3 linked regions of the Canis lupus familiaris genome follow. The protein of the gene in region 2 purifies or fractionates together with the protein of the main gene of each other region. This does not show direct contact. Links are inferred from orthologs where the notes say so. Each region holds a gene or a part of one and is shown on either strand. Other genes may lie near its edges.

Region 1 (4,262 bases), on a different chromosome or scaffold from region 2:
TCCCGGGTCTCCAGGATCGCGCCCTGGGCCAAAGGCAGGCGCCAAACCGCTGCGCCACCCAGGGATCCCATCTCTAACTTTTTCATCACTCCAAATGCCCCATTGCTTCCACTGCCCAGCCTCTAGTAATCTCTACTTTGCCTTTATGAATTTGTCACTATACGCACCCCATAAAGGTGAACTTAAACAATATTTGTACTTCTGTGTCTGGCTTATTTGACTTAGTATGTCTTCAAGGTTTATTATATTGGCTAGTTACCAGCTTCTTAAGGCTGAATAATATTCCATTGTGTGTGTGTAATGTTTTGTTATCCGTTCACCCATGGATAGGCCATTTGGGCTGTTTCCATATTTTGGCTATTGTGAATAACCAGTGCTATAAACACTCGTATATTAGTTATCTGTCTTGGGGCACCTGGATGGTTCAGTCAGTTAAGCATCTATCTGCCTTTGGCTCAGGTCATGATCCCAGGAGCCCTGAGCCCCAGAGTCCCACATTGGCCTCCCTGCTTCTCCCTCTCCTGCTGCCTGTGCTGTCAAAATCATGGTTGTGGAATCAAGTCAAAATCATAACAAGAAAAAAAAAATTATTTGTGTTAGGTTCCTGCTTAGTTTCCTTGGGTATACTCCTATAAGTAGAGTTGCTGGATATAGTTCCATTTAGCTTTTTGAGAAACTGTGAGACCATTTCCAGTGCCTGTACCATCTCACATTCAGCAATGCACCAAAGTTCTGATTTCTCCACACCTTCAGCAACATTGGTAATCTTCCCTTTTCTGGATACGGACTATCCTAATGGGTGTGTCAAATCTAAGTTAGAAATAAATTTCTCCTTCATCTGAGCTCCCACAATACCTACTGGTGTCTTTCACCCAGGTGTTCACTAAAATATTCTGAGCCTTCCTAGACACTAATCCTACTGCCAGAGCACAAAAACCTTTCCTCAAAAGTCTCCATCAAGGTCAAAGAGCGCTTCAAAAAAAACAATCTTGAGAACAAAGCAAGATGCTGAAGATTCCAGTGACAGCCCTTAGAACTAATCCTGTAAACCTTCAAAACCAAGTTACCAGACTACTTAACTTCCACCCACTGGAACCTCTGAATGACTTCTACAGATGTATACTTAATAGGAGTTACCTACTTTGGCAAGCGGATGCTTCTAAATTTCAACTCGACGTTCCCGTGAGCCTGATGTATAAGGAGACGAGCGTACCAGTCGTCTTCGCTTCACTGATGCTTTACAGCCTAAGAGCACTCTCACGTCCTGTCTCCTTTACAATTTTACAGGGCGGCACCTGATGCTCAGTTTAAATTTAAGAGCCCCCCCAAGACCAGACTGCAGTTAACTTACCGACTGTCCCTTTTTGTGCTTTCTTCTGTAGAGGACAGTCCAGTTGATCTGCCGAGGGTTCCTCTTGGAAAGGAAGGCCGACTCGCATTTTGCGTTAAGAAACTGGAAGACCTGCAGGAACACGTCCAAGGCGGTCAGCTCAGCCACTCGACTGAACCAAGCGGGAGGCTGAGCTTGGAACCCTGCAGACTCTCACTTCTACCGCCTCCCTGGCCCAGAGACCAAAAGGCTGTGTGCGGGTCACGGCCGGCAGGAGCGGGTGGCACCCCGAGGCCTTGGGGCATCCGTCCTGCCGACACGGAAGCCGGTGAACCGAAGCTCCCGGGGCAGGGACGGGCGGGGCATCCCGGGAGGCATCCAGCCCGGTCCCTACCCGGGTCCCGAGAGGCCTGGTGCCCCCAGCATAGCCAGGTGCTTGGGCCGTCCGTTCCCCGGGCCGCCGGAGTTCCCAAACTCCTAACCTCCGACCTCGCTCACACTACGTCCAGCCTCGGAAATCGGCTCACTCCGAGGCTTCCTATCCTAACAGCCACTGCACCCGCGGCGCCCGCAACAAGCGCCTCAGGGGCCGGGAGCGAGGGGGGACGTGCACACGCTTAGACCCAACCGGGCCGCTCCCCTCCTAGGGGCGCAAGCGGCCTTTCACCTTCCCGTCGGTCCTGGCGTAGCGCCTGCCATGTCCGGGGTAAATCTTGTACCCACTGAAACTGCACAGCTCGACCCTGTAACAAAAAGCCAAGAGAGCCCGTTAGGGGGGGTGTCGACGGCAAGGGGCAGCCGAGCCCAGGACGTGCGAAGGCGGCTCGGCCCGAGGATGGAAGCGGATTGCGGCCCGGGGTCTTGCTCACTTCATGGCTGCGGCGGCCGGGAAGACGGCGAGACGGCGAAGAGAAGGAGAGCATCATGGGAAGAAGCCTTATAAGCCGGCAGGCCGAGCCCCTCCCCGAGTCCCTTCCGTAACCCCGGCGCTCGGCGATGACGTCAGCCACAGCCGCCTCCTTCCGCTGAAGGCGGAGCCGGCGCGCGGGGCGCGGGGCGCGCGGTCGGTTTCGCGGTCGTGGCGTCTCCTGCGGTCGGGGGTCCTGAGCGTGGTCCTGCCGCGCCGAGTGGGACGTGCACAGCCCGGTGACCGACAGCCAATACCCACAGGTAAAACTTCAAGTCACACAGCTCCGTGCTGCCCCACGAACTTCACCAGCAAAATCAAATTTTAATGGTTTCAGCTTTGGAAAATAGTAATGCCATCTGAAGTGGCTCCCACGCCTTGCACTGATCGGCATTCATGGACTTCTCTTTCTGCGCTAGGGAGTATGCCGGAGCATTTACACGCACTTGTGTAGAGTTTACGAAATCCCCAGTGAGTACGCGCCGAGGCCCTGCGAAGTGACAGCCGCCTGTCTGGGAAGAGGAGGCGTCACCTTCCGCCTATTGCAGCCCGGGGGCAGGTGGTGGAACAGTGAAAGGCAAAGCCCTTGCTCCGAGGCTTGGGAAAGGGAGCCCTGGCCAAGCCCACGGGGGGGGCAGTGCCTCAATAGCTTGAGCCCCGTGACGCTAGAAAGGAGCAGCATGTTGGGGGGTAATGGAAGGAGGCAGTCCTTGAATGGCGTTTTGCAGGATTTGACTAGGAAACAAAAATGCAATGATTGATGCTGCCTGTATAAGCTGCTCCCTCTAAAAAGCATCGGTAAGTGGTAGGTGGAAAGATCTGGAAAGTGCAACGAGGTGGCTGACTGATGTTAAGATGTTGGAAGCTGTACGGTTATGCTGGGACCAGTCTCAAGAATGAGCTCATAGAGGGGCACCTGGCTGCTCAGTCAGTGGAGCGTGTGACTCTTGATTTTGGGAGTGTGAGTTTGAGCCCCACCTTGGGCATAGAGATTACTTAAAAATAAGATCTTAAAAAATAAGAATGAGTTAATAGAGATCAGCGTGGAATCAAAAAGCAAAGGGGAGGGATCCCTGGGTGGCGCAGCGGTTTGGCGCCTGCCTTTGGCCCAGGGCGCTATCCTGGAGACCCGGGATCAAATCCCACGTCGGGCTCCCGGTGCATGGAGCCTGCTTCTCCCTCTGCCTGCGTCTCTGCCTCTCTCTCTCTCTCTCTCTCTCTCTCTCTCTGTGACTATCATAAATAAATAAAATTAAAAAAAAAAAAAAAAGCAAAGGGGAGGAATTTGACATTCCAACCAACTCTTACCAGTTTTTCAGAATACCTGGTTACTTGGAATACATTGTTTAAATACACTATGGGCAGATGGACGCCTCGGGCTCCCATGGCTTGATGAACTTAGCTATGACATTGATACAGCTCTCTTTGTTTATTATTATTATTATTATTATTATTATTATTTGCTCTCTTTGTTTTAAATCACTCCTGATTAAACAGATGTTTGATCATTTGGGAAAAAAAAAAAAAAAAAAAAGAGAAGAAAACGACCTGGCTTCTATAGGCGATAAGGCCCAGCTGGAATGAGTAGAAGATGGGGCCAAGATTTATAAGCAGGAATTTGATCCACAGAACCCCAGGATTTATAGTACCTTCCCAAGCATTTTAGGAAGATTTTATTTCACTGGTCTTCAAAATTAAGTTTGGCCTGAGTAGCTCTGTGGAGGAAAAGCAGAAAACTAGACCTTAAGGATTTTAGGGCTTTTACTCTTTCTTGGAGGGCATTCTTGAGCTGGCATCTTAGGGTTCTTTGTAACACATTGTATATATCACACCTTAAACTATGCTCAAACACTCTTAGAATAAGAAGAAAATATACAGAAGCCTCTAAAAGTATTTTATATACTGTCATAAAACGGCTTCCAACACCATCTATAAATTTCTGGTGACTTTATCCTTACACTCTTATTGATTGATTGATTGATTGATTGATTGTTTGGAGCCTAATGCGGGGTTTGAACTCACAAC
Region 2 (3,500 bases):
GATGCCAGACAGAATAAGCAGTGCTCTAGGCTGGCCCAGTCACCATCCCAACCCCATTAAATCCCTCATCCCACATCAATCACACTGATTTAGAAGGGTTTATCTGGGGGGGAAGAGGGGGAAGCACTCAACTATTTAAAAATAAACAAAACATGGCTTGACAGCTAAGACTGATAAAACTATGGATCTTAAAAAATGACTTACCCACACGCTCCCTCAGTGCTTCATTTTCATCAAGGAAATCATTGATCTTCAACTCAAGTTTATTGATTTCCTTTGTCAATACTTCAATCTCTCGATCTCTTATTTTAATTTGGTTTTTACAATTCTTTATTTCAATAACAGCATCTTCTAAACCATATACTCCCTGAAAAATATCCAATCTAATTTATGTATAATGTGGTTTATTTGAATAAATTATGAAATTCATGATTTTCTTATTAAGTCTGAGGGAAAGTATAGTTATATGTAAGATTTATGTCTTTAAACTGTGCTTTTAAAAAACAAATCCAGTAATAACAACGGAAAATGGAACAGCTGAAACTTTCTAGTATAGCGTTCTATCGACAAAGTGACTCAGAGAATGACATATAAAATACCTAACAAGGGGAGACTGGGTGGGTCAGTGGGTTAAGCATTCAGCTCATTACTGATCTGAGGACTGTGAGATCGATCGAGCCTGCAGCCAGTTCTATGCTGGGCACTGGGCATGGAGCCTGCTTAAGATTCTCTTTCTCCCTCTCCCTTCCATCATCCTACTCAGGCTCTCCCTCTCTTGAAAAATAAATAAATAAAATAAAGGTAGTGAATATTGACTATTATAAGACCATGCTAGATGATTCAGGGGGTATGAAGACAAATCAGATGTTCATACTGTCTCTAGGGAGCTCCTTATCCATCCCTCTCAAAAAAACAAAAAACATTTAACAAAATATAGGAAAGGAATAATAAGAGTGAATCAGTGACACCATTAGTAAGCCATTAGTGGCTTGACTTGGTGGCAATCAGATTTAAAAATACAAAAAGTACAAAGTAAGTACTGTGTGTTGGCACAGTAGGCAGCAAAACTGTCCCTGAAATAGCTTTTAGCAAATAAACGAGTGGTGTCACATGCATATGGTGGCACAATGACACAGATTACAAAGAAACTAAACTTGCTGTTTCACCAAAGCTGATTATCTGAGCAAAAGGTTTTGATCAAATGGTTAGAAAACAATTCTGCTGAAAAGTAAATGCTGCTCAAAGGTCTGAATAGTGTAGTATAAACCAACTAAGATAACCTTTATCATAAAATACTTCTGGAATGTCTTTGAAAGTACAAAGTAAATAGCACAGAACAGTCTGGGAGTGGCAAGAATAATCTAAACTCCCTGATTGACATGATAAAAATACATACCGATTCATAATCTTTTAATCGCTTTAGAGTCTCAACTAGTTCTTTATCCTTTTCCCTAGCATCAGCCTCAGCCAGTTCAGCTGTTCTCTCAGCCTCTTTAGTTTTCTCTTCTAACATTTGAACCTTAGACTGAATTTTCATATAATGAGTCTGTTGGGAAAGAGTTGAAGCACCTACAGGGTAAAAAACAAACAAACAAAACCCATGAATTAATTGAATTGATTACTCATTCCTTTAAATCCCTGATTCCAATACAGGAAGCAAGAAAAGTGGTTCATCACTAAAAAAGTCCCTTTAATATTATAATTTTATATTTGAAAAATAAAATTTGTTTTCATTTTATTGATAGGACAAGCTTAAAAAGTTAACAGAAAACCTTAGCTGAAGGGTTATGGATTATAAAAGATTGCAAAACACTGCTTGATAAAGAAGGATCATTGTGACAAAAAGTACTAGCTATCTGTTCCTAATGTTCAACCTTTGTTGAACTGTAATAGAACAACACAATTTTAGTTGTGGACACGTGGCCATTTGAAATAAAGACTAAATTTCCACTTGTACCCCAGCGGTGTGGTCATGGGGCTAATGGGATATAAGAACAAGCCATGTGTGTATTTCAGGAAATGTTTTTAAGAGAGAGGAGTGAATTTTTTCTCTTTTCTCCTTCCTACTAGCTGGAATATGGATATTACGTCTGGAACTCGACCACTAAGAACACAACATGGATACTACATGTTGAGATAGGCAGGGCAGCAAATTACACGATGTCTGATACACGATTATTTGTGCAGTTATCATACCAACCCCAAACCAGTTGCCTCAACTTTGTTTATATCATGGAAAAATGCATTTCTATCCTGTTTAAACCACTGCTATATTTGATTTTTTCTGTCACTTGCAGCTAAACTTAATAGCTAAAAAAAATCTCTACTTATATTTTACCAAGCTGGTGCTAGACCAAAAAACAATATTCCTTTTATCGACGCAAATCATTCTAACCTACCCTAAGTGTTCTACTGATTTATAGAGCATACACTTACGTGTAGGCATTGGACTAGTGTGGGACAGCACGCATGTTTATAAGAAATGGGCTTCATTCTCTGGAGTGAAAAGCCTAGATGGAGAATGTGAGAGTGTCTACTCTCATTTCTTCAGTGTGGCTCTCCACAATATATTTGTCTGCCTATCCTCCAGCATGTGCTATTTGCCTCTAGCTCCACCTCCTCCACCTTGCTGTTTGGGATGTGGATATGAGGGTAATGCTCCATTTTGGACAAGACAGAGGAGGGCAACATCCTGGGTTGCCTAATTCTACACCATCACACAAGTGAGAAAAATAAACTTCTATCTTGATTTTGCCACCATTTTCCAGATCTCTAGCTCTGACAGCTAAACCTAATTCTAACCAATGAAAAGAAACCACCATCAGTATCATATTTACAAATATAGAGTATATTCTAGGACACACACCTTCTGTGGACTTCATGGATCATATGCCTATGGACTGACTGAAATGTCATTAGACAAGGCCTCTTTCTTATTTGATAGCAGAGATCAACTGCCACTTTTTCTCCTGGTGGCTGGAATATGCAAAACCCATGCTGTCAGGCATGCTTTTAAAAGCAGTTTAACCTACTGTCAAAGTACAATTGTAAATACAGAAATAAGTATAGAAATAAGTATATAAAAATAAGTGTAACAAGTGGGCCTTGCTATTGGCTCAGCAATCATATTCCATTTCCCTGGTCTGTTTATTCTTCTAGATGATCATTTCATACCTTCTCTTTTCTCCTCTCTACTCAAACGTTAACCTGTCCTCCCCTATTCTTTCAGCTGAGAACCTTGCTTCCTATACTGAGAAAAAAGGAGCAATCAGTACAGAAGCTTTACCTGCTCCCACCATCAGGTCATCTCCACAGTCACTGCAGCTGTTCCTACATGCTCCACTTCTTTCCCTGTTATTATGGACAAATTCTTTGTGCTCCTAAGGCCAACTACCCCACTGGAATGCTAGATTCCAGCCCCCTGCCTTTTCAAGGATATTGTTCCAGAAGTTCTCTCTCTCTCTCTCTCTCTCCTGCTTCATCGTATTAATTTTCCTCTT
Region 3 (4,232 bases), on a different chromosome or scaffold from region 2:
AATCAAAGGTTCAAAAGAGATGCAGTTTACTGAGATGGTTCAGAATATCTACCCCCGCCCCCCGAAAAAAAGAAAGAAAGAAAAAGAATATCTACCCAAGGAACAGACTAAACAAGACCTCTCATCAGCCAGAGACAGTAAAAGTGAACTGGGGAGGGAATATTTCCCTATCAGCCTCAGGGCATTGGCTCCCCCTCTCCACAAAGGTGGGTCCTTTGCGCCCTTCCAGCTGTCACCTTACTATTTGCGCGTTCATCGGCAGCACCCCGGGACAGCTCCGCAAAGTTTCCCTCTCTGCTTCCCGATCCCCTGGAATCTGTCTGCACAGGGTTTACGCACAGCTGCTCAACTCCGGCTCCTTCCACGAACCGCCCGGGACTCCAGGCAGGGCAGCGGATAGCGCCGGGCACCCCATTTCCCAGCAGAGCAAGGGGGGGTGTCTGTGGCAACACGACTCCGGAGAGGTTTGTGCCTCCACTTCCCCACACGGCCAGAGTCCCCCCTTCCTCCCGGGGACCGTCCTCACTCACAGCGTACGGTGTGGAAGGCGCAGCGCGGATGCTTCTCAAAACTCTCGCCTAACTTGAGAACCCGCTCGCGCCGGTCCCTGGACGCCGGTCCCGCTGCTGCATTCATCTTGACTCTCCGGCTCCAGCTTCGCCGCCGCCACCTGCGCTCGCTTCCAGCGGCCACCTGGTCCCGGAGCAGCTGCACCTGCGGCCGCCAGGGCGGCCTGCAGACTCCGCCCCCCGCCGGACGCGCGCGCCCTCCCCCGCCCCGCCCCCCGGCGCCCCTCGAGTGCTGATTGGCTGCCCGGAAGGGCGCCCCGCCCCGCTCCAGGATCCCGCTCCAGGATCCCGCTCCCGCCTCCGGGTGCCTTTCCCGCGTCGCGACGCACGGCGTCCCGGGGAGGCCGCGCGGCGGAGGTGCGTGGTGGGAGTCGGGAGCTGCGGCGGGGGAACGCCGAGAGAGGCTGAGGTAAGCCGGCCGGGGCGGCGGCCGGGGAGCGAGAGGGAGGCCTGGGCCCAGCGTCCCGGCACCGGGGAGCTCCCAGCGGGAGAGTCTGCCCCGTTTCTGTGGAGATCTGTGGTGGAAACTGAGGCCCGGGGAGGGGCGGGAGCGGGGGCCCGCGGTGCGTGTTGCCCGCGGCCTGGTGGCGCCGGAGCAGGTGGAGGATCCGGAGCGAAGGAGCTCGCTGCCTCGGAGCCTCGGACCTGGGACCTCACCGGCGGCGACGCCGTTACCTCGGGATCGCCTCCTGTTCAGAGAAAGTCCCCGGTGCTGTGAGGGTCCCGACCGGGGACGGGGAGGAAGGAGAAGGGAAAAAAAAAAAAAAAAAGATTCGGAGTTAGGAACTGCGGCGGCGTTTAGGATCAGCGGCAGCCACGTTGCATCAAGTAGCCTTTTATTTATTTCCTTCCCAGGGATCTTTGGAGGCAGTAACGGCAGGCCCAGGAAGACGACTTCCCCAAGCCTCAGGCCCCAGCTCGTGCTGTGACAACAGGGTAAATAGCATTAATAATTGAAAAATAATTGCCTTTTTTTTTTTTTCTGTCAAAAGTTCATGAGTGTCAGGATAAAGATGAGGAGGGAAGGGTTGTGTGAGGAGAAAGTTTACAGACGGTTGCCGGAACGGGTGGTGGCTTTTCAGGGTAAGTGTGTAATTACGCTCTGCTCCCTTACTTGACCTGTACCGTAGCCAAATTTGCAGATTTATTGTTCTGGGCGAGTAGGTGACTAGGGCTCCTCAATCTGTCTGCTTGTCTCAGTTTTACTCTTGAAAGGACTTAGGAAGGCTGTGTAGTGTTGTAATTAAGCGCTCAGGTGCTGGAGCCAGAATTTTTTTTTTTTTAAGATTTTATTTATTTACTCATGAGAGAGGGAGAGAGAGAGAGAGAGGCAGAGGGAGAGAAGCAGGCTTCACGCAGGGATCCTGACGTGGGACTCAACCCCGGGTCTCCAGGATCATGCCCTGGGCTGAAGGCAGGCACTAAACTGCTGAGCCACACAGGGATTTCTCCCCTTTTCAAATTTTTTTTTTTTAAGATTTTATTTATTTATTCATGAGAGACAGAGGCAGAGACGCAGGCAGAGGGAGAAGCAGGCTGCATGCAGGGAGCCCGACATGGGACTCGATCCCAGGACCCCAGGATCACACCCCCGGCCTTCCGGGGCTAACCCACTGGGCCCCCTGGGCTGCCCCTGGAGCCAGAATTTTTGTATTTGAACCGCAGCATGAATTCATACTTTACAGTGTAACTTCATGCAAACTAAAGTATGCTCATCGTTAAAATTGGGGGGTGGGGGGTGGATAATAGTGTTTACTCCTTAGAGTTGTTGAGAGGGTTAAGTGAATTAATACATGAAAGGATTTAAAACCATTCACAGCACACAGGAAAAGCTCTTCAAATGGTTACCATTATTGATGTGTAACCCTACTGTCCGACAACATTTTTTTATTTTATTTTTTATTTCTTGAAGATTTTATTTATTTATTCATGAGTGACACAGAGAGACAGGCAGGGACACAGGCAGAGGGAGAAACAGGCTTCATGCAGGGAGCCGGTCCTGGGACCCGATCCCGGGACCCCAGGATCACGCCCTGAGCCAAAGGCAGAGGCTCAACCTCTGAGCCACGCAGGCGTCCCTCTGGTAACATTTTAGAACCATCCTTGGTTTCTACTTTCTTTTCAAAACCTTTAGTTATTCTAGAAAGTAGGAATTGCTAATTTGTTTACAGATAAGAAAACTGATTCAGAGAAGCCCAGTTTTCTGACTATGCGGTCTGTTTTCTTATCATTTGTGTTATCTATTTGGCACTTAAAGTAGTTTATATAATTATTTTATATCACATATGTGTATATATGTGCATGTATACTTTTTTCTTTCCCAAACAGAACATGAATATCAGGGACTTTGGTCCCATATAAAATTCTTGTGACCCATGCATCCAACATTGTGCCCTACGCATGTGTTTGGTGATGATGATAATGTTTCACGGGTGTTTTAGTATGTTAACCAGAGGGCAAGAGCTGTGTTTTAAGCCTATTTTACTTAAAAAAGACTACTAATTAGAAATCTGAGGTTTCCATATTGTAATAAGGAAGAAAGCAGAGAGTCAAGAAATTAAGCTTTGAAATGCCCAAAGTTTGTGCATTTATCCCTTCTTTCAACATATGTTTGTATAACATATATAAAACTTTTTCATACAGAAAAGTTTTAGCAAATAAAATTGGGATGCGTTTTTTGACTTTAAAATAATGGATTTTATATACTCTTCTGTTTATAGACAAGCTTCTATTTATGTTATAATTAACATCTCATTTCCAAGTTGTGTGTTGGAGATCAACACACAACAAGACCAACGCCAGGTTCAGTGATTCATTGGGAAGGCTCACAGTTCTTAAGATATAATCAGATTCATAACTATGATTTTTTTCAAGATTTATTTATTTATTCATGAGAGAGAGAGAGGCAGAGAGACAGGCAGAGGAAGAAGCAGACTCCTGCGGGGGCCCGATGTGGGACCCGATCTCTGGACTCCAGGATCATGCCCTGAAACCAAAGGCAGACCGCTCAACCGCTGAGCCACCTAAGAGTCCCATGGCTATGATTTACTACAGTGAAAGGATACAAAGCAAAATCAACACAGAGAAAAGGCAAATGAGGCAAAATCCCAAGGAAAACTGGTGTAAACTTCCAGGAATCTTCTCCCCATGAATTCACATTTGACACACTTAATTCTTCTATAATGAGTTGTGACAGTTTGAAGTATTGTCTACCATAGAAGCTCACTGGAGATTCAGTGACAAAGGTATTTATTGAAATATGATCATGTAGGTATCCTCTACTACCTAGTACCAGAATTCCAAATTTCTGGAAGGAAACAGACATTCTGCATAAACCACATTGTTTTCACACACTTTGGGCACAGTGAGCCACTCTTACTCGGGAATCATGGAAACCCTCTGAAATCCAAGTTCCTAGGCACCAGCAGGGCCAATCTTGTCTCGGGTCTATGTTAGCTCTTTTCTGCACCCAGTGTCTCTTTTAAAAGATAAAAGAAAGCAGTTTCTATCCCTGGATTATTGTGCAGATCAGAGAGAGTGAATGTGGAGCACCTAGTACTTCCTGACTCTTGGTGCATAATAGATAATATGTACCGTAGCTGTCACAGTAAGTTATAGGAGTTTCTAGCTCTTTTAAAAGTATTCTAGTTAGAAAAACCAGAA

Evidence for each region. The genes of interacting proteins can lie anywhere in the genome.
Region 1: the proteins of CEP290 (region 2) and CEP97 purify together in Homo sapiens (co-immunoprecipitation; 4 studies listed by BioGRID and IntAct, with this or other methods). This does not show direct contact. The link is inferred for Canis lupus familiaris from reciprocal best matches to the Homo sapiens genes CEP290 and CEP97.
Region 3: the proteins of CEP290 (region 2) and IQCB1 purify together in Homo sapiens (co-immunoprecipitation; 8 studies listed by BioGRID and IntAct, counting the BioPlex papers as one, with this or other methods). This does not show direct contact. The link is inferred for Canis lupus familiaris from reciprocal best matches to the Homo sapiens genes CEP290 and IQCB1.

What each region holds. Positions count from the first base shown.
Region 1 is NC_049254.1:8,434,857-8,439,118, forward strand, and holds the start of CEP97 (centrosomal protein of 97 kDa), read left to right. Parts: upstream 1-1,462; 5' UTR 1,463-1,997; coding exon of another isoform or gene 1,998-2,073; 5' UTR 2,074-2,199; coding exon of another isoform or gene 2,200-2,204; 5' UTR 2,205-2,500; exon of another isoform or gene 2,501-2,708; intron 2,709-3,756; exon of another isoform or gene 3,757-3,952; intron 3,953-4,262. Other genes in the region: RPL24 (60S ribosomal protein L24), read right to left, coding at 1,352-1,462, 1,998-2,073, 2,200-2,204. UniProt on the Homo sapiens protein: Acts as a key negative regulator of ciliogenesis in collaboration with CCP110 by capping the mother centriole thereby preventing cilia formation. Required for recruitment of CCP110 to the centrosome.
Region 2 is NC_049236.1:29,559,394-29,562,893, forward strand, and holds part of CEP290 (centrosomal protein of 290 kDa), read right to left. Parts: intron 1,570-3,500; coding exon 1,397-1,569; intron 368-1,396; coding exon 205-367; intron 1-204. UniProt on the Homo sapiens protein: Involved in early and late steps in cilia formation. Its association with CCP110 is required for inhibition of primary cilia formation by CCP110.
Region 3 is NC_049254.1:25,743,839-25,748,070, reverse strand, and holds the start of IQCB1 (IQ calmodulin-binding motif-containing protein 1), read left to right. Parts: upstream 1-1,432; 5' UTR 1,433-1,505; intron 1,506-4,232. Other genes in the region: EAF2 (ELL-associated factor 2), read right to left, coding at 531-636. UniProt on the Homo sapiens protein: Involved in ciliogenesis. The function in an early step in cilia formation depends on its association with CEP290/NPHP6.